Styela clava: one gene and its partners. The protein of the gene in region 3 binds, or shares a complex with, the protein of the main gene of each other region. Links are inferred from orthologs where the notes say so. Each region holds a gene or a part of one and is shown on either strand. Other genes may lie near its edges. The genes, in order: splicing factor 3B subunit 4-like, splicing factor 3B subunit 2-like, splicing factor 3B subunit 5-like and ATP-dependent RNA helicase DDX42-like.

The links.
Region 1: splicing factor 3B subunit 5-like (region 3) and splicing factor 3B subunit 4-like share a complex: the UniProt entries of both Homo sapiens proteins name them as parts of the SF3B subcomplex of the 17S U2 SnRNP complex. The link is inferred for Styela clava from reciprocal best matches to the Homo sapiens genes SF3B5 and SF3B4.
Region 2: splicing factor 3B subunit 5-like (region 3) and splicing factor 3B subunit 2-like share a complex: the UniProt entries of both Homo sapiens proteins name them as parts of the SF3B subcomplex of the 17S U2 SnRNP complex. The link is inferred for Styela clava from reciprocal best matches to the Homo sapiens genes SF3B5 and SF3B2.
Region 4: the proteins of splicing factor 3B subunit 5-like (region 3) and ATP-dependent RNA helicase DDX42-like are in contact, whole or in part, in a cryo-EM structure (PDB 7EVN), measured with the Homo sapiens proteins. The link is inferred for Styela clava from reciprocal best matches to the Homo sapiens genes SF3B5 and DDX42. Residues at the interface, in NP_112577.1 of Homo sapiens: Arg4, Tyr5, Thr6, Ser9, Gln10, His13, Leu14; in NP_031398.2 of Homo sapiens: Asp156, Ala159, Tyr160, Phe161, Tyr163, Met164, Asn167.

What each region holds. Positions count from the first base shown.
Region 1 is NC_135255.1:4,024,549-4,031,268, reverse strand, and holds splicing factor 3B subunit 4-like, read right to left. Parts: upstream 2,661-6,720; 5' UTR 2,617-2,660; coding exon 1,546-2,616; 3' UTR 916-1,545; downstream 1-915. Other genes in the region: translation initiation factor eIF2B subunit beta-like, read right to left, coding at 219-384, 720-878. UniProt on the Homo sapiens protein: Component of the 17S U2 SnRNP complex of the spliceosome, a large ribonucleoprotein complex that removes introns from transcribed pre-mRNAs.
Region 2 is NC_135251.1:20,765,138-20,773,253, forward strand, and holds the start of splicing factor 3B subunit 2-like, read right to left. Parts: upstream 3,361-8,116; 5' UTR 3,284-3,360; coding exon 3,112-3,283; intron 2,968-3,111; coding exon 2,912-2,967; intron 2,791-2,911; coding exon 2,379-2,790; intron 2,200-2,378; coding exon 2,024-2,199; intron 1,667-2,023; coding exon 1,563-1,666; intron 682-1,562; coding exon 421-681; intron 1-420. UniProt on the Homo sapiens protein: Component of the 17S U2 SnRNP complex of the spliceosome, a large ribonucleoprotein complex that removes introns from transcribed pre-mRNAs.
Region 3 is NC_135262.1:19,158,446-19,165,235, reverse strand, and holds splicing factor 3B subunit 5-like, read left to right. Parts: upstream 1-4,780; 5' UTR 4,781-4,867; coding exon 4,868-5,128; 3' UTR 5,129-5,895; downstream 5,896-6,790. Other genes in the region: derlin-1-like, read right to left, coding at 1,609-1,741, 1,988-2,098, 2,179-2,231, 2,474-2,569, 2,747-2,773, 3,247-3,311, 3,611-3,722, 3,815-3,914 and 1 more; SUMO-activating enzyme subunit 1-like, read left to right, coding at 5,943-6,790. UniProt on the Homo sapiens protein: Component of the 17S U2 SnRNP complex of the spliceosome, a large ribonucleoprotein complex that removes introns from transcribed pre-mRNAs.
Region 4 is NC_135253.1:14,088,511-14,096,838, reverse strand, and holds the start of ATP-dependent RNA helicase DDX42-like, read left to right. Parts: upstream 1-5,291; 5' UTR 5,292-5,451; coding exon 5,452-5,553; intron 5,554-5,684; coding exon 5,685-5,792; intron 5,793-6,110; coding exon 6,111-6,191; intron 6,192-6,327; coding exon 6,328-6,454; intron 6,455-6,669; coding exon 6,670-6,973; intron 6,974-7,500; coding exon 7,501-7,747; intron 7,748-8,223; coding exon 8,224-8,328. Other genes in the region: polycystin family receptor for egg jelly-like, read left to right, coding at 1-799. UniProt on the Homo sapiens protein: ATP-dependent RNA helicase that binds to partially double-stranded RNAs (dsRNAs) in order to unwind RNA secondary structures. Unwinding is promoted in the presence of single-strand binding proteins.

The DNA of each region.
Region 1 (6,720 bases), on a different chromosome or scaffold from region 3:
GTGTCTGTTTGTTGCAAATAATAGCATTGAACAGACAATGTATAAGTCATGCTCCACATTAAAATGTAATAATGCATAAAACTCAACTGCCATCTACATAACCCTCTATAAATTTTCAGGGTTTGTGAACTGCAGTTTGAGAACCGGTGATTAACAATTTCAGTACTTTGATGTATGTATTTGACATTGCTCGATTGTGAGGATTTGATTTGACAAACCTGAGGCAGACGTCGTTAGCATGCGATGAAGAGATTCCTTTCCCGCCGATTCTTCTGATAATCCTCGTAATCTGGCATATTCTTCACGAATTATTTTGAGGACTCTTCTAACCATATTACCAACAACATAAGCAGACGGTTGCAGAGCAATAATTTTTTTCCCCTCCTATGAAAATCATTAGAAATACTTGTGTATCTTCCTCTTATCGTTATAACAACTTGCATTTCACACTCTTTTCAATTATTATATTTGCGCAATAGCATTTTTGCAGTTTACCACAGTATCATTGTAATGGGGAAATGTTATTGTTGCTACTAGGAATGCACAAAATAGAAAGTACCAAATTTCCAATAAGAATTCAAAATTGGTTGGGTTTTCCATCAGTGGTAAAACATTGAATAGAAAATAAACAAATTTGAAAAATACAAGATCAAATTGTGTAATATCTTTCACTGTAAACACAATTTCTTACAAACCTAATACTGATAAAAATTAATCACCTGTTGAATAGTTTTCATCAAATCTTTTGCATGGCTGAATCTTGCAGCACTTATTACATGGCGTAGATAATTTATGGTTTTACATACAGTTTCATAAGACGATTTGAAGCGATCCTGTTTTAAATCCATCAAAAACTGATCCATCACTAGAGTTGCCATTTTAAGTAAAAATTAGGCAATAACACTATGATTACAATCTAAAAAAGATTATTTCCACATAAGAAATGGCTCAATAGTATGATTCAAACAGTTGAGAAGAAAGATTTCTTGAAAGACAGCATAAACAACCTCCAAGAAGACCAAAATAATATTACAAATCTGTCTTAGCAATTAGGTGCATGTTTATGGTATAACTTGTGATATGCACACAATAACAATATAAACACTTGGCATCCACAAACTAAAAAGTCATAAGATATTTTCACTTCACTTCAATCTGTTCAATTTCAAACTTATTTTCATGGGACAATATTCATAAAGTAAAAAGCAAGGCGCATACCGATAAGTTGGCTTGAATATCAATCAGAGTCAGATAATACATAACTATTCTTATTAAGAGATTTGGCTTTGCAAAAGTGTTCATGTATAGTGATACAAGAACAAAATTTTGTTTAGATGGAACATCTTCAGGTTTGCAAACTGGGATGAACATATTTGTCATCGAGACAATCAATATACAACAATATATTTATCCACCCTGTGGTTTGCCTATATTACAGCCATAAATTAATATGGAATGTAAATGTACTGTTCATCTCCCATCCTTCAATGTCTTCAAAAGATATCAACTTGATTGATTTCCTTTTTCTGGTAGTGATGATTCCAGTTATTCGTTCCATCTTGCTCCATCCATGTTTGGAGGCGGTGGTGGGCCACGCATAGGTGGCCCGGGAAGATGTCCACCGGGAGGTGGCATGGGAGGAAAATGACCTTGAGCACCCCATGGAGCAGGAGGACCCATTGGGGGGCCGCGAGGTGGGCCGCCCATCATGCCATGCGGTCCGCCCATTCCCATAGGGGGTGGTGGTCCCCATGGAGGCATTGGCATATTCATTTGTGAATTCATACCATCCATAGGTTGCGAAAGGCCACCTGGTGGCATTGGAGGAGGAGGCATAGGAGCCATACCCATAGGTGGCATTGGAGGCATACCAGGCATCATGCTTGGTGGACCTGGTGGTGGAGGTGGCATTCCCATTGGCATTGGTGCATTACCCATAATTGAATTTACTTTACCAGGCTGTGGGATAACAGGAGCATCTGCAAACATTGTGTGTGGTCTGTCTGCCTGAGAAAGAGGATTCTGAACTGCCAGTAATCTTTCAGCTGCACTGCCATGACGCTCACCTTTAGAATCCTTTTTAAATGCGTACGAAATTGTGATAGCCCTATTACATAAATATTGTCCATTCATAGCTTCCAAAGCTGCATCAGATGCTTCAAAGCTGGCAAAGTTAATAAAAGCAAATCCCTTCGAATTTCCTGTATCTGGATCACGCATAATTTTAGGGGTCTGTAGAATGACACCAAAGGCACTAAAGGTATCATATAATAATTTTTCATCAATTTCTGGATCTAAATTTCCAATGAAAAGATTTGCACCAACATCTAAATTCTTCTGATGAGAAGAAGCTTTGTTAACTCGAATAGGTTTGCCAAAAAGTTTTATCATGTTCAAAATTTTAATTGAATAATCAGCATCATCTTCACCAAGAAATTCAACAAACCCATACCCCTGATGTGCTCCTGTAATGCGATCTTTTGGCATATGTGTGCTGACGACAGGACCTGCTTGTAAAAATAATTCCCACAGCAAAGGCTCTGCTACTTTATCATCCAGTCCGCCGACATAAACAGTCGCATCTTGATTGCGTTCAGAAATAGGACCTGCCGCCATTGGCCTATATTCTTAAAAATTTATAGTATTATAATTAACTATCTGTTATTACATAAGCAATTGAAACATTATGACATGGCAAAATAGGGTCCAGCGAAGTAAACGCCGTAACTCCTTAAATCACACGAAACAAAAAAGTGAAGCTGATTAAATAACCCCAAACAGAAATGTGATGTGCGCAATGAAGTTGCCCATAGACGTGTTTAGTTAAAATTAAACACACACAATCTTAAACTAAGCAGGTATGTCCCTTGCAAAATCAGCAAATAGTGTATAGAATTCTTCGAGACTGACTGTTGTTTCATGAAAATAAATTTTGTTTGGCGTTATGTTAGCAGTTACATCATTTACTTCTGTACTTTCACATCACATTTTTGTTTGGCGTTATTTAAGCACTTATGGCGTATACTTTTTAATACTCGCAACATAGGTAAGTTGAATCCTAACACAAAAAATCATAAATAGGACCAATGCAGAATACAATGACATAAAACTTTTTTTAAAACTCCACTTCAAAGATGATACTCAAGACGCTACTTTTGAAAGAACCAGAATCTCGCCGATTCCACATACTAAATTTATTACAAACCTGGGAAAGTAGTGGTTATAACTGGGGGCTAATCCTGCTAATTAAAAACAGTTTTTGAATTAGAATAAAGTTATATTTGAATTTGGAAAATATTAGATGGGAGTGATAGCCTACTGCTCAACAGTTAAAAAACACAAAATTGCATATGGAAATGTGCTAAGAATGGTGATCATTTCAGAATTCTAGATGCATAAACATTGGTGAAAAATATTTTAAATTTGTTAACAACGGAATCATGTATATAATAATATTATTTGACAGATGGGCTAATAACTACAATATCTGAATATCAGTATCACCACTACAGTACAGTAATTCCACAAATTAGTTGAAAATAAGGCAAAATTGTATCTTGGCTAATTGAAATATTAAACTGCAGAAAGTGTAGGACATATCTAGAAGGTTTTCAAATCGCATGAAAAGTTACAGACCCAAAATCTTTGTTTGTTTATCAATGGAATAATCAATGTTACGATGGTTTTCTATTTAATTTTTCATTAGTTTTGAATCATAATATCTCATGTTATTTATGCCGCCTTCAGATGTAGTTTATTTGGTTAACCAAAGTAGGCTAAATGTTAAACTTTACTGGGCTTAACAGAGCTGATGGAAATTCGCCTTGTGTTTTCACCTCCTGACAATTTTTAAACGTTTATAAATTATCGGGTCTCCCTAAAACCGAGTGGAAGTGGTGACTCCTCTGCGGCCCATGGGCCGGGGCCACGGCCCATCGAATTGGGCCTCGGCCCATCAGGCTATGGGCCGCGGCCCATCAAGTTGTGTAAAGGGACTATTCACTTGGCTAACACAGACAGTCCCCGAACTCATAATAGAACTATAATGTAAAAAATCTGAATTTTTTTTTGTCCTAACCCTAACCTGGTACACATACTACAGGAGTATATTTTTTTGTTCGAATATTGACAGTTTTGTAAAAATTGAAAATTTTGGTAAGATAATTGAAATTTTCCTGATGGGGCCGCGGCCCATAGCTTGATGGGCCACGGCCCATGTGGCCCAATTAGATGGGCCGTGGCCCCGGCCCATGGGCCGTAGAGGAGTCACCACTCCTGTAGCTAAAACCAGGCACTTGCGAATTCAGGCACTTTTTCAGGCACCATTTCAGGCACTTTGATATTTTTTATTTTTACCGTACGTCATTGGGGTTTCCAATTTACCTGACAAGATAATTAGACTTTAAATAATTTTTTGCATCCCTATATTGCAATAAAACAATATTATTTCCAATTTATTAGGGTATAAATAATTCTTCAATAGTAAAATGTGGCAACATTGATTACAAAATATAGAAATCAGGCACTTGTGAAATTTCAGGCACTTGGTCAAAACCTAGTTTACAATGTATCTGATTACTCTAAAGCAGAAAATTAAATATATACACTTTGTATGGTTGAATTTACAATATTTTGGTAAAATACAATACCGTTTGTGACTGATGGAGACGTGTCATATTTCGCAAGTGCCTGATTTTTCATTTTTCTTGGTGACAGTTGCCATTGTTTTTAGCAATTATTTGCGTCAGCACTTACTATTCTTTGCTTTCTAACGCAAATTCATTGTTCCACAACAATTTGAGCGTTTTTAATAATGCAATGAGCAATACCATTTGACAATATATGGTCAACCATCGTACTTTCTGGATTTATTTAAAATTGATTATGAATGATAAAATCTGGCAACCACAAGCACAAATACTAAAACCAGGCACTAGTGAAATTTCAGGCACTTGATAAAAACCAATTTCTCGGTGTTTTTACTTACTTTGAAGCAGAAAACTAAAATATACACTCTTTTGTATGATTGAAATGACGTCTTTTTGGTAAAAAACAAAAACGATTGGGACTGGTGATGAGGGGTCAAATTTCGCAAGTGCCTGATTTTTCATTGTTTTCGATAACAGTTGCCATATATTTTCGCAACAATTTTTCTAAATACTTTGCATCAGCACTTACTATACTTTGCTTTCTAACGCAAATTCATTGTTTCACAACATTTTGAGCGTTTTTAATATTGCAATGAGCAATACCATTTGACAACATATGGTCAACCATCGTACTTTCTGGATTTATTTGAAATTGAATATGAATGATAAAATTTGGCAACCTCAAGCACAAAATACTAAAACCAGGCACTTGTGAAATTTCAGGCACTTTGTAAAAATCTATTTCTCAATGTTTTTACTTACTTTGAAGCAGAAAACTAAAATACACACTCTTTTGTATGATTGAAATGACGTCTTTTTGGTAAAAATCAAAAACGATTGGGACTGGTGATGAGGGGTCAAATTTCGCAAGTGCCTGATTTTTTATTTTTTTCGATAACAGTTGCCATATATTTTCGCAACAATTTTTCTAAATTATTTGAGTCAGAACTTACTAATCATTGCTTTTTAAAGGAAATTCCTAGTTCTACAACAATTTCAGCGTTTTTAATAATGCAATGAGCAATATCATTTGACAACATATAGATAACCATCGTACTTTTTGGATTTATTTGAAATTTAATAGGAATGATAAAATCTGACAACCGCAAGCACAAAATACTAAAATCAGGCACTTGTGAAATTTCAGGCACTTTGTAAAAAACTATTTCCCGATGTTTTTGATTACTTTAAATCCGAAAATCCAAATATACATATTTTGTATGACTGAATTTGGTATTTTTATTGTCCAAAACTAGAAGATCTATCACTGGTAGGAATGTGGCAAGTTTAAAAAGTGCCTGATTTTTTGGTTTTGTCAATGGTAGTTGCCATATCTCTATAATTTTTATTTTTTTTTCATATGTTGTTTCCCTATTGCATTATTTTGGAAAAGTCAATGTTTGTATGAGAGCTCCCCTTAGCATAAATGGAATTAAACTTTTATCATCAGTATTTACATCCGGAAATCGGTATTTAATTAAACCAATCACGCTTTTGCAAAACTATTTGAATATTGTAAAGTTTGAATGACATTGTGTTGTTTATTTTTATTAATTCAAAAGTATGACATATGTATTATTTAAATACGGGTTGAAATTTGACAGATCTGTAGGGAATATTAGTTATTCAGACGACATCTTTATAGTAATGTTCGGAACCCTTGAAATTGATTCAAAACTTCTTCTAATTTGTTATAAACATTTCGACGTAATATATTACCCAGGTAGTAACAATCGCATCGTTATAAACAACCTAATTTGTCTTCTGGCAATATTAGTTCAAAATTCCAGTTTTAATTGTTATCGGACGACGATTTTAATAATGTAATTTGGCCTACGACTTCATATAAACTACATAACAGAAACAATTGACTTATGTCGCAGAGAATCTTTTATAATACGTATCCAAGTCACATTATCCCCTAATAGAACATAATTTACCGTTCACAAAATGTATAAAAGCCTGTGCAAAATCTATATTGACAACCAGCGGTGTTCAACCACGGCTATAATAAAGATATTCGATCACTTGCTGTTGCTGTTGTATAATATTTTTTACAACCTGAAGATCT
Region 2 (8,116 bases), on a different chromosome or scaffold from region 3:
CAGGAGAATAATTGCTCATAATAAAATGGATTCAAGTAAAGTATTGATGAAAAGTGCCCTTGGATCAATTTGATATTATTTGTATATATATTATTTGAATAAATCTCAAATAAGAGATGAAACACATTACATAATCAAATAAAATGGAACAAAAAAAATACAAATTTTTTGTGCCGATTGTATTCAGAATGCATCCACGGAGCCGAGCATATCGGCAGCGGTGGAATTTTTATATGCGTGTGTGTAGTTACCTGCATATTCAGTACTCATAGTTTTTGTGTATGACCTCAGTAACGATAAGTCAATCGCAAGCTATTTTGAATATTTTAGTCGACCATGGCCGAAAAAAGGTTGGCCCCCCCTGGTGTATATTATCCAACATTAATTCCAACACATATGTAAAACCATTCAATAACCTACTCAATTTCAACATCTTTTTCTTGTTTCACTGCATCAATCTCTCCTTTCTCTGCGGGAGGTTGAGCATCTTTTGTTATCTCCTTCTCTTCTTTTTCTTTCTTCTTTTGTACATTTCTTCTCTTCTTCTTTTCTTTTTTCTTTCTGTTTTTGAGAGCTTTACGAGCTTGTTCAGCAACTTCTGATTTAGTAAGTGGGAGATTACCGGGTTTGGTATCTTCAACATACTGCTTCGTAATTTCTGCTTTTATTTCCTCGAGTCGCCTGAAAAAATATTAAAATATGAAAGTCTTGGAAGTAGCATTATTTAGTCACACAGAGGCATGCAGAAAGATTAACATTTTCTGTCTCCTTGCATGAAGTAACCTCGACCAGGGCTTTCCAAACTGGGGGTCGCGACCCCGCATGGTGGTGCGCATTGAATTTAAGGGTTCAAACCTATTTCACCAATTACACACAAAGTAGGCTACCATATCTATTGTACTTTTTTAGAATTTTGATTTGAAACACAATTATTAAAAACTGGTGCAAAACTTAAATTTCATGATTTCGAGAGAATACATAGGATCAAAAAAGCGACACGCTTATATAATAATGCAGGCTTTAATCGTAAGAACCGAGGAGCGGTGCGCTTGCGTAACAATGCCGACTTAACAGGGGTCACAGGAAATTTTCGCGAGCTCAAAAGTTTGGGTAGCCTAAGCCCCTGATCAAAATTTTCTCTCATTATATTGATTAAAAGTGATGGAGATTCTGGTTTTTGAAAATGTACTGGATTGTGAATTCAATATGAATTGTAGTGTATTTGCGATAATTGCATCACCATTTATCAAAAGTCAAGTCAAAATTTTGAATTTCTTGTAAGTCCAAATTCGGAATTCCAGACTTGATAATGGTTATAATTAAAGACAAAATTTTAGAAAGAAACTCAAATAAATTATGTTCAACACTGTCCTTAACATTCTGTTAATTAAGAAAGACCAAAGTTTTTAACAAAATAGGATTATCTCAAGTCTTAAATTTTCATTAACTTAGAGTCAAAATCGGGAGAATTTTTGAAATCTTGCAGGCGTCGCTGGTTGTAAAGTCCCAGACTTGTACATATCTTATAAAGACATTTTCAAACCAACAACATTTCTAAATACCTTTTTTGTTCAGACATTGTTGTTTCATTTGCTGGTTCTGTTGCTTTTTCGAGTTCCAATTTTCCTTCCATTGCCTTTTTGACTTCTTCATTCGAAACTCCAACCTATTTCAAATTAAATAGAAACTATTACAGGATATTTCGAGGTATAACAATGTAAACACAAATATATTTTTTGAAAGCAGGTTCAAATTCAACAGTAGTAGTAGTCGAACTTTTTCTAAGTTGAATTGGTTAAAGATCATATTAGTTAAAATGCTTTATATGGCTTCAATTCTGAACAAGCAGCCATTTCTAAGCAAGAAGGTCCTATTTTCGATAAGATCTTCCCAGTTTGGCAGTCTTTACCCAATTTATTAGTGACATGAATTTTAAACCCAGTTCTGGCCTGCAATGCCAACATTCTTACGTTCAATACTTTAACCACTATGTTATCTATTAAACAACACACAATAAAAATACCTCTTTTGCTCTTTCATCTTTGTAGGCAAGCATTTTTTCCAGTGCAGCTGGCAACCTGAAATCTCTTCCTTTTTTGCCTGATTTTTCATCTTCTTTCAACCTTCTTTCGAAATCCTTAGTTGGTTCCACACGACGTCCCATAAGAGGTTGGGGAGAACCACGTCGAGGAGCACGTTCTGATATTTATAAAAGGATTTGAAATAAAACTTGTATTCTTATATAAAATTTTCACTAATCTACCAATAAATACACACCAAGCACACAACACCAGTTAGCTTAGCTCCATATTATTATTCCATTATTCAATGACAGATTAACAAAAACTTCAGCAGCATATTACGACATAAATACATACCATCATACATCTCTGGTTCTCCTCTATACTCATCATGATTGTCAAATCCACTAGGTCCCGAAGGTCCCTCGAACCCGCCAGGTGGCCCATCAAATCCACCAGGGCCTGATGGACCTGACCCAGGGGGTCCATCAAAGCTACCAGGAGGCCCGTCAAAACCTCCAGGTGGGCCATCAAAACCACCAGGTGGGCCATCAAATCCACCAGGTGGACCATCAAAATGTCTCGGTGGCGGGCCATCAAAACTTCCTGGGGGACCATCAAAGCGATTCGGGGGCCCAGGTGGGCCATCAAAATTACCAGGAGGTCCAGATGGCCCGTCAAACCTATCACGAGGTGGCATGTTATTGAAGCGATCAGGGAAAGGAGGTCTATCAAATCCTCCAGGACCTCCTCGCATATCTTCACCATCCTGAAAATAAATTTATTTCTGAACAGATAGTGTTTCACTCTAAAATTATTACATCGTCAAAAAGAATGAATGAAAGTTATAGCAATATGACAAGTTGTAGTAAATCCAATTTGATACTTACATTTGGATGGGGTCTTCTGTTCATTCTGTCATTGAAGCCAATATTATCTGGTCCACCTGTAATTGGAAGAAAACTTGCTATTAAAATTATATATTCAATAGAATTCGCTAAACAAGGGTTGTTTTTTTGTTGATTTTTATTGTGCTATGTAATCGCAATCAACATTAATTACCAATTTAATTTGAAAAAAGAAATCTTACCTTGCATCATTGGACCCATATTCATCGGAAGTGGCACATTGTGACCCATCATATTTGTGGGCCCCGGAGGGGGTGGGGGTCCTGATGAGCCTCCCATCATAGGTGGTCCATGAGGCAATGATCCCATCATTGGAGGGGGTGGAGGGGGAGGTTGGATGTCATTGTTTGACATGGTTTATACAATGCTGTTGCTGCAAACTACTTTATGCCTCTACCTATCTACTTTATATAAATCTGTAAATCAAAGAAGATTGAGATAAATGGTTAAGCTGGGAAACTGTGATGCAAAAATTATGTTAGAGGAATTGTAGTCTTCACGTTCACTGCTTTTTTTAAATCCTGAAAAAAAAATTAAAGAAGGAATTCAATATTTTAAAACATTGGGTTTTCGGACTTTGTTTATTTGATTTCGGATTAATCTAATCCAGTAGGGGCACAGTTCTTCGATTCCAAGACACCTCGATACCCCCGACATTCAGTTCAATGAAGCGAACACTTTATTTGTCTCTGAAACGAGGTCATTGACTGTAAAAAAAAAAACTTTCTTGACTGTTTGACTTTCTTTTCATCCAAATTACAGAATTAACATAAATATTACTTATTTTATTTTATAAATACTCATTGTCTAAGACAGGGGTGTGCAACCTTCAATACAGTAGGGCCAGATAGTAATAACTACTGAACTAGGTGAAACCGTGGGTTGCACCTTAACATGGGCTATCTAGTAGCTGCAGGCACAAAAATTTTGGTTATTGATCTTGTGACATACATTGTTTGCACAAGCTAACTGTTAAGTCATGGAATAGATAATAAATTGGACTCAAGAATACTCGCACATACCATACCGGTATTGAATAAAATAAAAAACGTTTCGCGGGCCGCACATCATTAAAAATTGGCACTTCTCCGCGGGCCACACAATTTTTCCTAGAGGGCCGCATTTGGCACCCGGGCTGCAAGTTACACACTCCTGGTCCTGGTCTAAGATATCATCATCATGATTTTACTTTAGTACTTGTCTCAATACAAAAATAAAGTTTATCAACTTTTTGAACTCTAGCGGCATTGCAAGCTCATGATGATTGCCATAATTCTCTGGTCCTGCCAGCACTCAATTCATATGATCTATTAACACCATACAGCTGTACAGCCTTAACTTGCAGTACGGGTATTAACTTTTAAATGGGTCTTACTACTTACTGAATACAGTGCGAAACACCGCATAGAGCGCAAAACAGTGCAAAATAGCGCGAAACAGCGAAAAACAGAAGGAAACCAGCGCAAAACAGAGGGAAACAGCGGAAAACAGGAGACGCAGTCATTACCACCTCCTGCCACGAAAGAACCACGGCGCCTCTCGCCATGGTTTTATTGCGCTATTTCCGGTATATTTACAAGGTTATGTACCGGATTATAGGTCATCATGCGAAATTTTATCTACCTTTCTGGTGCTCCAGAAGTATGTGCAGCAATATGTCGCACAACCTGAATCCGCTACACACACACATACTATTTTCAGGTTGTGCGCCATCTTGGTGCACATACTTCTGGAGGTCCCTTTTTATCTAACCCTAACCCTAAAGCCAACCATATCCATATGAAAAATGTTCTAAATTATGGTACCCAAAATGTGTCTCAATAGCAGGGGCAGACCTGCCATTACAGCATTACTGGCTACATACGTTGGTTTGTGTTTTTAATTTGCTGCCGTGGTACTCCAACTCAAAACAAGGTGCCCCGAACTCATTGCAAAAAATTTTTCTGCTTCACACTGTTTCCCTCTGTTTTGCGCTCTTTCGCGCTGTTTTCCCACTGTTTTGCGCTGTTTCCCTCTGTTTTGCGCTGTTTTGCGGTGTTTCGCGCTGTATTCAGTAACTAGTAAGACCGCTTTTAAATTGCTGACTTCAGGAGTCAGGACTTACACATGTTGACTACATACTGTACCGTTCTGGTACCACTGTACCGGTATTTCCATTCTCGCATATAATGATCAACCAATTAGTATTGAAATTTTTTTTTTTCTGTTTTTGAATCAAATATATCTTTTAGTGTTGGCATTGTTTGTGATAATAAAATCCCTCTCTCTCTCTCTTTGCAGTGAAGGAACGAAAAGGGAAATAATGAGACGCAATTACAGAACTACGCAGAACTATAAAAAAAAAAAAAAAAGAGACGCAATGAACCCGTCCTCCTAAGCAGCAAGGATCTGGCGTTGCGCAGATCAAGTAATATCTGAATATACCTGTATAGTGTATACTGTATACCAAAGTGACTATCACTTTGCTGTATAGGCTACATAGCTTTTTTTTTTTTTTTTTGTGCCAAATAAATTCCAATGCCAAATGGAATTTTCGTATTAATATTTTGGTATCAAATCATTTTATTATAAATATATAAATTGATAGTTTTTTGTTTCCATGTTTTTGTTTATCGTTTTTCAATTTAATCCCATTCCCCCCAATACATCTGTACATAGGCTAAATAGTAAAAATAAAAATAAAGACAAAATTCATACCATTACCATGATGTCATTAATTTAATATAATCCAATATCTGAATATATGTCCAAAAAAGTTGAGTTAATCCCCATGTAATCTACTCAGCAGTTAGTTGAATATAATTTTAATTTACAGGTAATCTGTTTTTTTTTTTTTTGCTAGTTAGCATGAAAAATACAAGAATACAAAAATTAGACAGAGAATATGGAAAAATCCACGCTTTCATATTGGGTTTTTCCCATTCGCCATCTAGGCCTATGTTTCATAGTCGAAACCTCATCCTCTTTTGAGAATGATGTACAAATAACATACTTTCAATAATTTTCAGAGTATGGTGTTGCATATAAACTTACATCATGATTGACCTATGTAAAAGATCATCCATGCACCATGTGCTCATATAACAATAATTTCCACCTATTTCATCATATTTTACTGAATTTCGATATTCCCAAATTGTTGATTTTCCGCATATTATTGTGATTAATTTTGATTTGCATTCCGAATCGTTTGCTATAATAGTATTTTGATTAATATCTATGCAACACTACACTATGCAACACATACCGTATCTAGGCTACATAGCTATAAGCTAAGCGTGTATTATACGTCGACGTACATCAAAGTTTACTGAATATGGACCTTTCCCCGACCTTTGACCCCCAAAAAATTCTTCCCATACTCTACCATTGCAAAATTTTCGGGGCTATTTTAAGAATGCTTTTGCGAGTTGGCGCCTGTAAAATAAGGTATGTTTTTCAAACCATCATTATGATTCATCGCATACAACAATCCGTTTTTTAAAAGTACCGGTGAAGAATTTTAGCCTAGTCTAGCACAGCTATTTCTACGCTGATTTTTTATTACTGCAATTAAATTAAAACTCCTAGGAAGACAGAGTGATCAGAGCCATTATGCTCTGGAGTGATCATTGAAATATCTGATCCATACTTAAGTTTCCGAAACACAACTGAAAACTAACGAATAGAGTTCAAAAACGCGAAAACGAGGTGATGTTTACGACCACGCTTGAAAATCTGTCTGAGTGAGAAAAGTGTCCGAGCGGGCGTGAAAAGGGAACATTGTTACGTCACTTTTTGCATCTTGCTGATTGGCCAATGTCATGAAGTAAACAAGGAAGTCGATGCTTGAGGAAAGGTCCATAGTTCGTGCACAGTGGTTCGTGAGTCACTTCACAGTGGTTTCGCAGTTCGCTCACGGCCGGTTCGCCACGCATGACTGATGCGTTTCTACGTCGTCAGTTTGCGATACTTTGAAGCCTACCAATGAGCATATATACAATGAGTGGAAACTTGCAAAGATTTGCTCATTTTGGTATTGTTCCCTGCATTTTTACGTCGTCCAGCTAAATGGTTCGTTGCATATTAAGAAAACGCATTGCTCGCTGCCAAAATCCCTTGCTTCAGCCGAGTCGGGTGCGAAATTGGCCGTATTGAGGTCTGTAATTCTTCAATACATATTTGGTTTTGGGTTTCGAAGTATGGTACGCTGAAAGCATACAACTATGAGCATATGCTTATTGAGAATGCATATCTATTATTAGGCAGAAAACGTATCTACAGAACAGAATATGAACCAGTCGCCTAGAGGGGTGCGGTTATTTATGTATTTATTCATTGATATAACATGGGATTTACATATTTATCCATGGGAGAGGAAAGCCGAGAAGAATGCCTAAATATATGGCGAACCACGGCCTCTCACAATCATAGCTCTGTCCTCCATATGAATCACATGGCTCTGCGAGCTATTCGTTTACCTATTAAAAATACTGATTTTAACTATAAATTACTCTGGGATATCTTGCCTTTGAAAACAAAAGCCAGAAATTGGAAGAAAATCAGGGAATGAAACGTGTGTATTATGTAATGGAGAACCTGAGTTTGTTTCACATATTTTCATGTATTGTAAATTACAAAAAATATTTATGAAGAATTTGTTTTAGATATATTAAAATTGATTAGAATACATTTTGTTATCAATATGATTCTTGCATATCATTTAATTTTAACGATCCTTTATATAGTCATAAAGATACTGTTGATTTGGATGCAATTATACTTTTGTTATCAATAGTGAGAAATATTTCAGGACTGCTATTAACTATGTGAGCTATTTTTTCTGCAATTCAAAATACATCTTGCGTCTGCTATTTACTATGTGAATTAATTTTTCTGCAATGTAAAGTATTTCCATAACTGCTTTTACTATGTGGGCTGTTTTTTCGGTACTCTTGTAGTATGTGTACCAGGTTAGGTTACGATTCTCCTTATTTTTGTTCTATTAAAAGTTCGGGAATTGTCTGTGTTACACAAGTGAATATCCCCTACCGATAGAATTTAGTCCATTTACACAACTTGATATAAAATAGGCGAACAAAATTAGTTACCTTCATATTGGTACACATACTTCTGGAGCACCATTTTTTTGTAATGTAAAATATTTAATATGTGAACTAATTTTTTTGGAATGCAAAATATTTTCTA
Region 3 (6,790 bases):
CATAAAATATGCGCATGAACTCTCGATGAAGACAGCCGGGATGGCTTTAAATGTAGGACTATGTAGTAAAATCGGAAACTGTAAAGTTACAGAAGGCGTCCCGCTTTGAAGTAAAAAAAATAGTCGTTGCCCTAGCTAAAGGGACGATGTTTTGGGGCGTATGGTGACCTATGGACGCAACTACCTCCAATTAGTTGTCGTATGGGGCTTTGCTAAGCGATATCTTTGGAGGGCAACTCCACGATAACCACTAACAATCTCCTGATCGAGAGCAGCGATAAGTTTCATTATATGCCAAACTCCTTGTGGTTAAGGCAGCGAGTCGAGCTTCGACACCACGGGAAGACAGTTTTCTGCCACTGGCGCGGCGGTGTGGCTCAACGGGCTAAGCGTTAGGAATACGCTCGCCACCGCACCTCTAATTACTCTGCGTAGGTTCGAAACCCATGCAGGGATGGTTATGTGCGAGAGGATTGCTGGACTCCTCGCCTTCGCTGGGTGGTTCACGTAACCGCTGGTCGGTTACGGCTTCCTCCACCACCAAGTCCATGCTTCCGAAAAAACAAACAATATAACTAATCCCATACCAGACTTGGAATTGTAACCGGACGAGAGGCCGCGGTTCGCTATATGGATAAGCCGTCTTATCGGCTTTCCTCTCCCCCGGGATAAATATGTAAATCCTATCCTCCCGGTTTGGTTGCTCAAACCCCTTGCGCTCGAAGTCTGTCCTACTTCGTTACTGTCATACTTTTCGTGGAAAAAATGAAAGACAGACACAGGAATCATAATTGAATCATTAAATTTTCTGCGTCTATTTGTGTAAAACAGAATTAATTAATTGTGTCTATTTGTGTAAAACAGAACTAATAAGGAAAATAATAAAAACAAGTTGATGATGCTCATATTGAGCAGCCCCTCGGCACCATTTCAGATTATAAAATATGCAACCGGAAAAAAGTCGTTAAATTTCTTGCATTTTTCCTTCTGTAATTAATGATTGTTGTTGAGGTTAATTTTCAAATCTTTGTTAAACATGGCATGGGCGTCATTATCTCAAAAATGCATTGTTCTAAACCAAGTTAACATCAGAAATAGCAGAGCCAGGACAATAAATAAGGTTTGTTGTTGATCTATTCATAAACAAAGACACAAGATGAAAAATTGAAACATTTCTATTGCAATACGTTGCTACTTAAAGACTATTGTCACTAATAAATAGCTAAAATGGAAAATGATGATTGCAAACTGTCCACATGGCGAGCACCCGCCAATCAGATTTTTGCGAAATTGAGAATTGAGATATTACTGAAACGTCTTTATTAGCAATTCACCAGACAAAATGAAACAAGGTTTTAACAATAGTGCAATATAGAAAACTTTTAGAGTTTTTCAGTCAAGTAATAATTTATCTTCGACTTATATTCGTCTGTTTCACCAAAATATTTTTGACATTTACTGTCATATATGATAAATACAGAATCCCAAAATAGTAGAGTGTAGAATTACTGTTTTTGTTATTTAAGCTTCACAGATAGACACATGTTTTCAACTAATAGAAGCAAGAACGCATCTTTGATAAACCAAGTTCTTTTCATGAATAAGATCTCAGTCTCCGCCCAACCGTTGACCAGCACCACCCCATCTGTGAGCACCATCATCAGCTGGTGCAGCACGTCGAGACTGTGGTGCAACACCAAACCCTGATACAGCACCTCGCATGTTGGGAAAGTATTTATATCTAGTAAATAAAATAAGATTAGCAATTTAGTCATATAAAGAGTGGCAAAAAAATGAAAAAAAGTTATTGATCATTCGCTGCAAGTTATACTATTCATTCTGCACTCGTTTTGTGTTTCTGATTTCTGATACCCTTTTTCATACACTGCTAATTTTTAAATCTTAATTCCACAAGCATTAAAAGTTGATAATAAAAATGGTAGACGACAATGCATCCAAATGTTCGTAACAAACAAACATTACTCACAAAAACTGAGGTGTTTCCAATAATGCTCTTCCACCAAAATCTTGAGGATATTTAAATTTCAAAAAGAAGTAAAGATGACCAACAAATATACCAAGTAGTTCCGACATTCCTCTGTAATGCAAAATGATGTAATATCTCTGTATGACCAATTAGTATTTGAATATAGTTGAAATGAAAAATTCAGAACTTACCCTCCTCTGATAATCATGTTGAATGCAAACAAAACCCATGGTAAGTAAGCGGCCTGGAAAATAGAGTAAATTTTTACAGTACTCCTAGCAATTCTATCCCACAAGTATAAAAATGGTGCCGCTTTGAGGCAAACAGCACAATTTAATATTATTGGCATATTTACATTTAAGTGGTACAAATTATGTGAATACAGTGTGAAAATCTTTAGTCAGAATGAAATCATAAATTTACAGAACATGAAATAGACACTCAATACACAATTATAATTGTCTAAATTTCTACAAATAAACTCACCTTAAACCTGGTTCCAAACCAGAATGATACAATTTGATCGCGATTTATTTGACACCAAACGTACAAAGCAGAGAAAATGAGTAAATCAAACATGATCTAAAAATAAATATATAAGTAATGAAAATCATTTTTAACGTGCTTATAAATGCTCAGCACTGGTGACATTATAATGTTGGATTACTTTGATGAACTCCAAAACTGAGTATGTGAGTCTTAGTCTTCTAGATATTTTAAGCATATTGAAATGATGAAAGCATAATTAAATTAACTTACCCTGATTTCCAGAGCCAATGCCAATCCCTGAATTAAAAAAAAACAGGTATGGTTAAATTAATTCAGATGGGCAGAATGAAAAAAATGCATGGCTTAATTTGCTCCTATGAAATGTAATAAGTTATTATAATTTTCAAGTTTGAATGAAAAAGTCAAGAATTTATATGTATTAAAATTTTTCATGAATAAAGCCAAAAATGTAAAACATAGAAACATTGAATAATCAATAAAATTTGAATGCATAAATCCTAATAATAAGGAACATGATATTTTCAACTTTTTTTGAGAATAAATTGACTACTCAGTCATCATAAATTGCGATTGTCGAATATAAGAAATATGGTAAATTTGAACAGAACCGAAAAGTGATTCAATACTTGGCCAAGTAGATCACTTACGATTCATGCTTTGAGAAATGTAAGAAGGTTAGGCTACTACTATAATTTCAACAACTACAATCAGGTATAGAGCAAGGCTACATTCATGAAAATAGTTCCTACCACTGTAGTAAGCCATGTGAAAGCAAGCATGAAAACATAGTCTGCAGGTCTCCCTTCAAATATACCTGTATGTAAATGTATAAATGAATTAAATATAGAAAGAATGCGTGTGTGATTAAGTCATCCAATCGGCTTTCCTCTCCCATGTGATAAAATATAAAACTAAAATATTAATTTCATAATTTCTGGTAGCAGACGACAAAATGGTAATACCAAGATATACCAGGATGAACCAAAAAGAAATAGTCATAATAAACATTATTTATAAAGCAATATAAAATGTGACCTCTGCTAAAAACAATTGAGATGATGAACAAGGATTATTATGATGTGTAATAAAAAATTAGGTAAGAAAATTAATCACCAGTTTCAAGTCTTGTTGAATAACTGTACAAAAAATATAACATAATGAGATAATGAAAACCAGTCATCGGTGTTATTGGGTAATAAACAGCAGCAGTGAATGGACGCCATATCTGAAACAAGGAGTGAAAGAAAGTATAATTATGGTCAATATTTTAACATTTCTATACATCAAAAATTAGTATTAAAATATATAACAAATTACCTGAAATCTACTGAATAAACTGTACCAATCCAAGATCAAATGCATTCCATTAATAATGTTAAATTTGGCCACAAGTGGAACTACAACTGATGCACTGAACCTGAAAAGAGAATGTGTGTAAAATAATGGTATATTACAGAACATCAGTACTACAGTGGATAGGATAGGATTTACATATTTATCCCGGGGGAGAGGAAAGCCGATAAGACGGCTTATCCATATGGCAAACCACGGCCTCTCGTCCGGTTAGACGAGAGTCCCATTCCAAGTCGGGTATGGGATTAGTTAGTTATACTGTATTGTTTGTTTTCGGAAGCATGGACTTGGTGGTGGAGGAAGCCGTAACCGACCAGCGGTTACGTGAACCACCCAACGACGGCGAGGAGTCCAGCAATCCTCTCGCACATAACCATCTCTGCATGGGATGCGAACCCACGCAGAGTAATTAGAGGTGCGGTGGCGAGCGTATTCCTAATGCTTAACCCATTGAGCCACACCGCCGCGCCGATGTTGGAAGTACATGAGGTATGAAGCTAGGTACTGGTAGATAGGCACAGTACTATATAATGAATACCTGACTGTTGGACCCAAAGACTGTGTGTAAACTGTACCTGTGTAGCCTACCTGTATTGTCTGATTGGAGTGTAACTACAGTCAGTTGGTAAAAAAATTTACGTACCGGTAACTTACCAATAACGAGTTATTCTCGGTATTCCACGATACCAGTCTCCAATATCATTAGACGCCATCTTTGAATATCCCTTATTATAAAACTACACCTAATACTCACGACAAACTGACAAAATATCAATGAAAACTTTAAAAACCAGCAAACAACAAGTTCTTCTTTGCAGACGTGTCTCAAATTATGCACAATAATGTAGATATAATGACGTAGTATGACTTGACAAATATATTGACAGACACATGTGCACCACCTTGTGATCAGATCCAGGAAGGATTACCGTACTTTGGGTTTCTTTTGGCATTTGGTGGTTGTTTGTAGTGAGAATAAGTATTTCGTGAGTGTACAGAGACAAAATATCAATCAAAATGGGGGATCGATATAATATATTTTCTCAAATGGAGCATTTGCAGTCGAAATATGTCGGTACTGGACACTCTGACACTACAAAATGGGAATGGTTGACAAATCAACATCGTGATAGTCTTGCTTCTTACATTGGTCACCCGGATCTTCTAAGTCACATTGCTATTGCGGAAAACGAAACAAGAGCTCGAGTTCGATTTAATGTGTTAGAAAGAATGTTCCAACCTTGTGGACCACCTCCTGATCGTCCAAATGTTGATTGAAGTGTGATTTAATTGGAAAGCGCTTGGAAACTGACATCTGCAGATCTGAGACACATGTCATACCCACCTCAAAATTGACTAGTGTTATGAAGCATGAACTGCCATGTTCTTACTAGTTTTAATATTTAGTTGTTTGAGAAGTTTAAAACTGAAATATTTCACAGGAAATACTGCAATGCTTTGTATTTAATTTGAAATGATATTACTATCTTGATGAAATTAATTTGATTTCACTATGAATAAAGCTCTAGACAAGAAGTCCATATGAAATTAAACTATTTTATTCAATCAAGTATTATTTTTCATATCCAAACTGCTAATAAATGTAGGTCCATAATTACAGAATTAAAATGATTTACAAATAGAGATATGTTCCTAATATTTTCTATTGTAATAGGTTAAATAATTGTGGCTATCTATCCATCGTGGCTTGCGTTTATAGATGAATGTGTTTCGAAATTTTCAATTTTGAAGCCATCCTGTTTTATAAATTTGTCATGTTTTAATTGTTGAAATGGATTGAATCAAATCAGTAATTCTTGTCAGTACAACTCCACTAAGCACAGCTTTAAAAACAATTCATTTTGAGTTATTTTATCAAAATGTAGCCCCGATCAGGCAGGGAAACTTTTTTTGAAACAACTTTATTTTTGTCATTTCTCTTGTCTCACCTAATTCGAACGATATATTATTCATGCTCATGTCAATTTTTTCTTCGACTTCATTTCTTGAAACATGATATTGTACTGCAAATGTTTTTTATTTAGGTAGTAATCTTTTAAAATCTTAATTCTATCAAATATTCAACATTGTAATGATGGAAAAAGAAGCTGATATTACTGCCGAGGAGTTTGCACAATATGATCGCCAAATTCGATTGTGGGGACTTGATGCACAAAAACGTCTTCGTCAAGCTAAAGTTCTTGTTGTTGGAATCGGTGGACTTGCTTCTGAGGTGGTCAAAAATGTTGTACTTGCAGGTGTAAAGGCTTTGACAATGCTTGATGACAAAGTAGTTTCAGAGTCTGATATGGGTTCTCAGCTTCTTGTAACTCATTTAGACATGGGAAAAAATAGAGCAGAAGCATCAATGGCCCGAACACAGCCGCTCAATCCAAATGTAATCGTATCATGCGATAAGATGCCAATTTCGGATAAACCGGATGATTTTTTTCGAGAGTTTGATATAGTTTGTTTAACGGAGGTACCATTCGAAGAAAGGATAAGAATTAATTTAATATGCAGATCATCTGGAATCAAATTCTTTTGTGGTGATGTTTTCGGATTTTATGGATATTGCTTTGCTGATTTGGGGATGCATGATTTTGTGCGTGAAGAAGTGAAAAAAGAGATAAAGTATGATCTTGATGGAGAACCAGAAGCAAAAAAGAGCAAACTAGATGAAAAGGGCAAAAAAGAAGAAGAAAAGATTCTTGTAAAAGTTACAGATGAATTTTGTAGCCTTGAAGAATCTTTAACTGAGGATTGGTCAACAAGATCAAGGAGAATGATGCGACAATCATCATATATTTTTTTTATCATTAAAGTAATTGACAAATTCAAGGAAAAGACGGGTCGAAGTCCAACATTCGGCAAAGAAGATCAAAATTTACTCCTAGAACTGAGAAATGAGGTTCTCAAGGATTCAAATGTTTCAGAAAC
Region 4 (8,328 bases), on a different chromosome or scaffold from region 3:
TGTTAGCGCAGCACAACTTACTCGCGCTTTCAAGAACGATCCAAGTCAGTTTTTGTCGTTTTCGAAGCCAGCCTATTTTAAAATTATTTATTGGAATCTTATAAGTTTTGATGCATTTTTATGTTACATTCATCTGTTGAAGATATTAAGGGGGAGTCGATCTGTTTCAATCATGACCTATACTCTATCTGTGGCAACTGAGAGCATAATCGGAGTTGCGACATTGATTGCAATCATCACCATTGCGTCGTCTTTAATTGGGAAAGTGTCTTTTGGACCACAGCGATGGAACTTCCACTCGTTCCTAACAGCATCAACTACTCTTACAAGTGTGGCTGCAGGCATGGATGTGTCACATCCGGAGTTCGGCGTAACCAAAGAAATGTGGTGGAGCATTTACTTTTGTCTTTTTGCCTTTTTCACATTGACGCTTTACACTAATCTTTACGCCACTGTTTTATCGGATGCTTTGTTTTTCGCTAAAAATGAAGCGACGAAGGAGGAGGCTCATCAAGTTGAGACTCTCGCGCTGCACTGGCTATTTGAAAAAACAGCAGGATATTTGGGTCTAAAATCTCGTGCGTTTTCAGATAAACGGATAAAACTCAGACCTCCCCTGGGTTCTATTATTCGTCATGACATTACAGAAGCTATGAGAAAATCTCTTACGCTAGATCCAGTTGCTATCACCGGATCAGAAAGACACATCACTAATAAGATCAACAATGACGCAATGAATAAGCGAAAACTTATGAGACGCAATTCGAATTTGAGGGAAAAAAATGATGTGGTTTCTTGATATCTATTGAAATAAAGAATTATGGTAAATTCGCAATTTGTGATTATTTTGGTCGAGTATCAGATTGTAATCTTGAGTAGGCTATTTCTCCTATTCAGTGGACTTCAACACAATTTTCAATAGCTTAAGTCTACAAGGCTCAACCTTTTGTGTACAACTGTCATTCGATTAAAATATTTGAGAGGAAGAATATTTAAATTCTACTAATATAACAGCGTGTTAGAAATGTCTCTTCGGTTGAAGTCTAAAGGGATTCTTATTTCTTCCACATTTCGCTGTAGCTGTACTATGGCAATATGCTCCTAAAGATGTCAGCACGTAATCCCCCACGAAAATTAGAATAATTTAATATAAAATAATATGAGGTTTTTGCAATTTTGAAAAGCAGTTTTTAGGAGATCGTCCAACATGCAATGATTTTAGAATTACCCGCAAAATATCACATAACGCTTTACGCTATCGTTTTTCAAGTACCTGCAGAATTTGGCTAACCCACAAACAGCATGTACATCTAAATTTTAGAAGATAACTCTGTTTTCAACAGGCTAAGACAGCATTTCCCAACCATTTTCTCACCCGCGAAAACCTTTGCGGACTCAAGGTGCGTTTATTGCAACCGTACTCTTTGTGAAGAAGCGATAAAACCAAACACAACAGAAATTTAACGAATTTCAAAATCGGAAATTTGCCGCAATTACGCGTTCGTTAAAAAGCCCACTTTTTTAGTGTGTAATGAACTTTTCTGTGACACAATATTCAATCCATGACAACGACGAGAATTTAAAATAACTTTCTATTTTAATTCAATTGCGTCCATAGTAACTCGCAGATGCGGTCGACTACTCGACTTACGACAAGATGATCTGCGAACATAATAATGTGAGAATATATTGCCCGATTATATTCAGTTTTGATACATATTTTCTGCGATCTTGCGATTTTGTTATCGCCGTTAGAAAAATCCTACTATCTGCTATAAATTTCCAGAATGGACAACTTAATTTAGTACTTATTAAAAATAGATTTATATTTAGTATATTAGTAAATCAAACCTAAATATTTATCGCCTTGAAATTCTCGCGGAACAACTTCTGAAGTAATCGTCGGGTATACGTCACTCGTTAAAGAGCCGACTTTTCTATAATTTTTTCTGTTGGATAAAATATTCAATCCATCCATATTTGTGATCCTTTTAGCAATACTAATGAGAAAATATCATGACAATCCGTGCACACAAAAATGTGTGGTAAAGTGCCGAATTATATTTAGTTTTGATTCGTATTTTCGTAAATTCGACAAATCTGAGCTGTTTGTACAACACTTACGGCGCTCCAGTACTATACGTACCGATGTGGAGTAAAGAAAAGAATCCTACGGGAAAATGCCCTGGTACGTAAACTACGGTAGCACCAGAAATTTTGCGATTTGCAATGCGTAAAAAAGCATTTTAATCGGTCGAGGACCATCATAAAACAAAACTTATCGTGTTCTCCATTTTATTTTTAGTATTTTGCATCGCCGCTTTTCAATTTAGAAAATTTCGGTTGTCACCATTTACACCTAACAGAAAAAATATTTATTCCTCGTTGTTCGAACTCGCGAGAAACACCACTTAGGTATCTATCGACGTTTTCGTTTCCGCAAGCGACGCGCAAGTGAACTGTCGCGTCACGTATTACCAAATTTTCGAATAGTAAATTGCTATTCTAATATTTGAGTGCGGCCCCTGTGAATTTCTGGCTCATTGCGGACTCATTTGAGGCCGCGGACTCGGGTTGGGAAACACTGGGCTAGAGCAGTGCTCCGCAACCGGTGTGCCGCGGCGCACCGGTTTGCCGCGAGACGATGCCAGGTGTGCCGCACAGGAATTGCCACTTTTCTCTTCTTTTTACAATTTTTTTTTATCCTTTGTTAATTTTACGTTAGTCTACTACTCTACTAACGTAAAGTTAACCTGCTTTTACGTTAGCTTGAGCGACACCAATTCAAATTCCTTACTCCCCCCACTGTGCATTTGTGACGTAAAAAGGAATAGGCCTATATGTCAAGCAGATATATTGTGAAGCCCATATTATATACACGCTTTGGTAAAGCCTATTGTCGAGGCTAAAACATAGCACGTGTAGTCGTGTAGTAATCGAATATGAATAAAACTTGAGCTTAACGAAAGAATTACCCCTGCGTATTCGAGAAAATTTCTTTGAAGTAAGAAATTACAGAACGCTAAGACTGAATTTCAGCGAAATTCCACTTGATGTGTCTTGGATTTCAATAAAAGAAGAATATAAGCACATTTCCAATGCAGCTATTGAAATATTGCTCCAGTTTTGCACAACTTATGTGTGCGAACAAAGCTTTTCCTCTTTATTACTGATCAAAAACGATAAACGATACTGTATAAAGGATGTTGACGGCGAACTTCGAGTTGCTCTTTTATGTATTGTGCTCATTAAAACAACCACAAATCTCTCATTGAAATATGAACCTAAAAACAAAGTTACACTTTGTTTTTTTCGTTTGTTGTGGTGTACCGTCAAATTTGGCAAGATTTATAAGTGTGCCGCAAGTTAAAAAAAAGGTTGCGGAGCACTGGGCTAGAGAAAAGATTGCAGAAAACTATTACCCATGTTACATAATCTAACAATTCTCTTCTTCAAACAACTTAAAATTCTATAACTACACAATGACATGTTAACTTGATATCGCAAAAAACTTGGGTCTAGTCATGACGCTACTACTATGACCTAATCTTTTAAGGTCAGCCTACCTAGCTTCTAGATCTTGTTCTCGTAAAATGACTTTGATCCATTCTTTGTAGCGATTTCCGCTTGACAACGAAATTCTTGAGCTGAGAGTGTTTTCTAGAAGTGCTTTGCAACTCTTGCAGTAGCGTTAGTGAGTTAACGTATCTATTCATTATTGTACGTAAATGTAATTGAATAAAAGAAGGCGCAATTAACGAAGTCGCCATTGGCCAATCAGCAAGATACAAACATTACCTCGTTTAAACGTTTTTGAATTCTATTCGTTAGTGTTCAGTTGTGTTTTGAAAATTTAAATATAAATCAGATAATTCAATGATCATTTTGTCTTCTTAAAAGTTTCAATTTAATTGCAGTAATCAAAAATTGGTGTAGAAATAGCTGTGATAGACTAGGCTGATATTCTTTACCGGTGCTCGCCAACTCGCGAAACTACTCTTAAAATAAGCCCCGGAATTTTCGCAATGGTATATAGCAGCGTTTCCCAAACTTTTTCGGCCACGGAACACTTCCACGTTTTATCTCGCCTCGCGGAACACCAAAAAAATAAAAGAGTAAAATTGATAAAGTAAAAGTTGTCAAATGCGCGGGGAAAACTAACAGAATTGTGTTAAACATACTTAAAATATGCTTGAATATTTTACATGTTGCCAATGTTATAAAAGTTTTCTTAATTTAATATGAATCAATAAATTCACTTTACCATTTATGTCATTTACTTTTCATTACGTAGTGTTTGCCTCTAATGTTACGTCTAATGGGAGTATAAGTACTTGCTGCAATTTCGCCGCAGTTTATTTATCAACTTAATAGAGTTTAGCGAAAATGAGTGATTTTTTCAGCATTTTAAAGTAAAACCAGGCTGATACGGAGGAAGAAGAGTTGACCCTTTTGCCTTTATTCTTTAGACCTACACGTTTGCCTATAGAAAAACCAAAAAGATTGTTGTAAACTTGATAATGAACTTATGAATGAATAACAGTCTAAAAGCTAGGCCGACGTATTTTTGTACGTACGTAATTTATATGACTTATCGAAAACGCCACTACCCTTTCCCAGTTAGGGCGACGGTGACGCGATATTGAACGGTCAGTTGGGCGACAACTTCACGTTTCAAAGATCAGGGCTCCCCAAACTCGCGGCCCCTTTTGGATATATAATTTTTTTTCGCGGACCTTGTCCACGTTAACAATGCTAAACAGTTCGAAAGATGCATTTTTGATGTTTTGTAAAGTTGGTGTTCTTTTTGCGGCCCCTAAAATTCGATGCGCGGCCCCTAATTTGGGAATCGACAAATCTCCATAGCGACCATTTGAGACGTATTTTTGATTCCTTTTCCACCGAACACTTCGAAGTTGCTCGCGGAACACTAGTGTTCCGCGGAACACAGTTTGGGGAACGCTGGTATATAGGAAGAGTGTGGGAAGAATTTTGGGAAGTCAAAGGTCGGGGAAAAGTCCATTCACCCGGAGAAACCACTGAACTGTGATCTATTAGCGTCTCATATTTAATAATAATAAACAATCCAAGATCAGGCGAATAGGTGAGAAAAATCAAAGCAAATTATGATTTCTGTCAAATTTCCTAAGAAATGCATTACGCGCTACGCAAAAGTTGGAAGTCTATCGCCTAAACGAGGGAGGCTTCTATTGGTCCCGCTAAAATGAGAGAGAAGCACACTTTATATATCTCTGTGGGAGGAACGCCTGGTCACCCGAACATAACCGCGCAGTTGCGCTGCAGAGCAATGTAAATTATAAGTAAACCATAGCACCAGCATCATCGATTAACACACAGACTTGGTTGGAAAATTCTGCGGATTATCGCAAGGCAGTGTCCTAGCCAGGCGTTGCTCCATTGTCTAATTTTTGTGTCAAAGGTGCCAAGAGAATGAGTGGAGGAAATAAAAAGTATGGGTTTCAAGGTTTTGATATGACTGGCTCGTCTAGAGGAAACACGTCATACAAAATCGGATCCAAGCGGAGATTGAGTGTGAGTAAGATTAATATTGTAATATAAGTAGGCTAGCCTAGTTCTATGTATATGGCACTCTAGGGCAAACTGTTTCAAAAACAGTTTTATATTTGGTATAAAGTCAGATTTAAACAACATTGAATTTTTAGGAGGGTGAAGATGAATACTTCAATGATGACGATGAGCAGCAAGATAATAGACAAAAGCAACGTGATATTTTGGCTGGATGTCCATTTTTATCAGAAGAAGAGAAGCAGGTAAACTTGGTGGACCCAACCCTACATATTCTGATATTACAGCGCTGTTTTGAGTTAAAGTTAGGCTACATGTCAAGCGCAAGTCTTGAAAAAAATGATGAAGAAGTGGTCAAATGTGTGTCATGTATATATCATATGAAAAAAATAAACATTACACTGCCACTGCTGCATAATTGCAGTATAAAAAGTAATAAGTAAAAGTATAAAAATGTCCTGTTTTATTATAAAAATAACTTTGCAAAAATGGAATGAAAAGGTTATATAAATAGCACTCTAGTCGTAGTATATGTATTAATGAATTTTAATGTTTGCCATAAGGACATGATCAAAAAACAAGAAGAAGAAGAAAGTGAAGAAGAAGATCCTCTTGATGCATTCATGGCTAACATTGAAAATGAGGTTATTTTTTCTTTTCATTTTGCAATGATGATATGTTAATGTTACTATCTTGAAGAGACCATGCTCAAGTTTAAATCTAGTTATTGGTGTATTCATAACTTCAACCTTAATGGCTGAGCCGTTTGTTATTTTTAAGGTCAAAAAGCAGGACAAAAAGGATTCCGTACAAAAGCGAGATACAATCAAAGGTGTCAGAGATGATTTAGAGACAATGGATGATGAAGAATCCTATTATAAATATATTGAAGAAAATCCTGATGCAGGTAGATGCTAAATTATCTTTGAAAATTTATTGGATATTCTTTTTGTGTTAGTAGAAAAAAGAGATCATATTTGAGTAACAGTTTATATGATATTCTTTAAACATAATCTTTATGAGATCATCTCTATTATGTGAAATTGATCAAGTATGAAAATGAGGCAGTGGAATGATGTAATATTGTTCGTTTTACAAACCTGTCACATTTTTCTTCCGCAGGGAAAATGTTTCTGGATGCTGATGATCCAGTTGAATATGATGAAGATGGAAATCCAATTCCTGGAACACAGAAAGATAGAAAGATGATTGATCCATTACCAATGATTTATCACTCTGAAATTGAGTATAAAACTTTTGAGAAAAACTTTTATGTTGAGCATGATGATATTAAAAGACTTACAGATTCAGAAGTTTCCATGTTACGAGGGAAACTTGGGATCCAAGTTTCCGGTTTCTTTCCACCAAAGCCTGTAACAAGTTTTGCTCATTTCGGATTTGATGAAAAACTGATGAAAGTTATAAGGTGAGTTTGCATTTTCTAGGATAGTTAGAAATGTATATGCTAATCTTTCTTCTTTTAGCTTGAGCATTACCATAAATACATAGTGTAAATGCAGATTAAAAAATGCTTGATTTGAAGGGAAACGGCAAACCTTAAACTTTGCTACCCAAATATGCTCCGGTGTGATCACTATGTTACGAATTTATGCTAAAATTAGAACGAGAATATCGGTCAGAGACCGAAGACTTATCGATCGAAAGTTAGGGGATCCCCCAAAACAGCGCTCTTACTCCATAGTGACACCTTGTGTCCCATCACTAATTAATTAATAACTCGCTAATTATTCGACATAATTTGCCCTAAATCAATAGGCTTCTGGTCCGAGATAAGATGAATTCACATGCAAAATCTAGAGCAGACTCAATCTCGCTTTCGTGAGATATGGCGTGTATCTAACAGACATACAGACAGACAAATACCTATCAACATACTTACCGATTTAAATCGATAAGTAATTATTCGATAAATGATATAATATTCTTTCGAAGGAAAATGGAATATACCTCCCCCACGCCAATTCAAGCTCAAGGCACACCAAGTGCATTGTCAGGCAGGGATGTAATTGGTATTGCCAAAACTGGTTCTGGTAAAACAGCGGCTTTTGTTTGGCCCATGTTGTCTCATGTACTGGATCAACCTGTACTTGAAGAAGGTGATGGACCAATTGCACTTATTGTGGCACCAACAAGAGAACTTTGTCAACAGATACATGCTGAAGTAAAAAGATTTGGCAAGGTACGGTATTTATATTACTGATGGGGTTTGTTGCCTTCTTGTTCATATATTTGCATCGCTCATCGCTCTCTTGTTTATTATTTATTGTTGTTGCTTGATATCTTTGTTAGTTCCAAAACAACATGGGTTTGGTACTAGAGTTATCTGAAAGTAATGAGATACCATATTTTTGTATATCTGAAATGAAAACTTACAATAAAATTAGGTACTTCCGTAGTGTGTGTACCAGGTTAGGCCATAATTTTATTCTGATTTTCCTTATTTTAGTTCTATTACGAGTTCGGGTACTGTCTGTGTTAGCCAAGTGTATATATCCCCTGCCCATAGGCTTTCATCTCTTTACACAACTTGATGTAAAGTAGGCGAACAAAATTAGTTACCTCCATATTGCACTTCTGGAGTGCCTAAAATTATTTGTATTTTATCCTTCTACACTACTCGTCATTTAGACTGTTCATTCCTCCATTTCTTTTAAGATTTATGGAGTAAGATCAACAGCCTGTTATGGTGGTGGTAGTATGTGGGAACAACAAAAATCACTTGCTGAAGGATCAGAGATTGTAGTTGCAACTCCTGGTAGA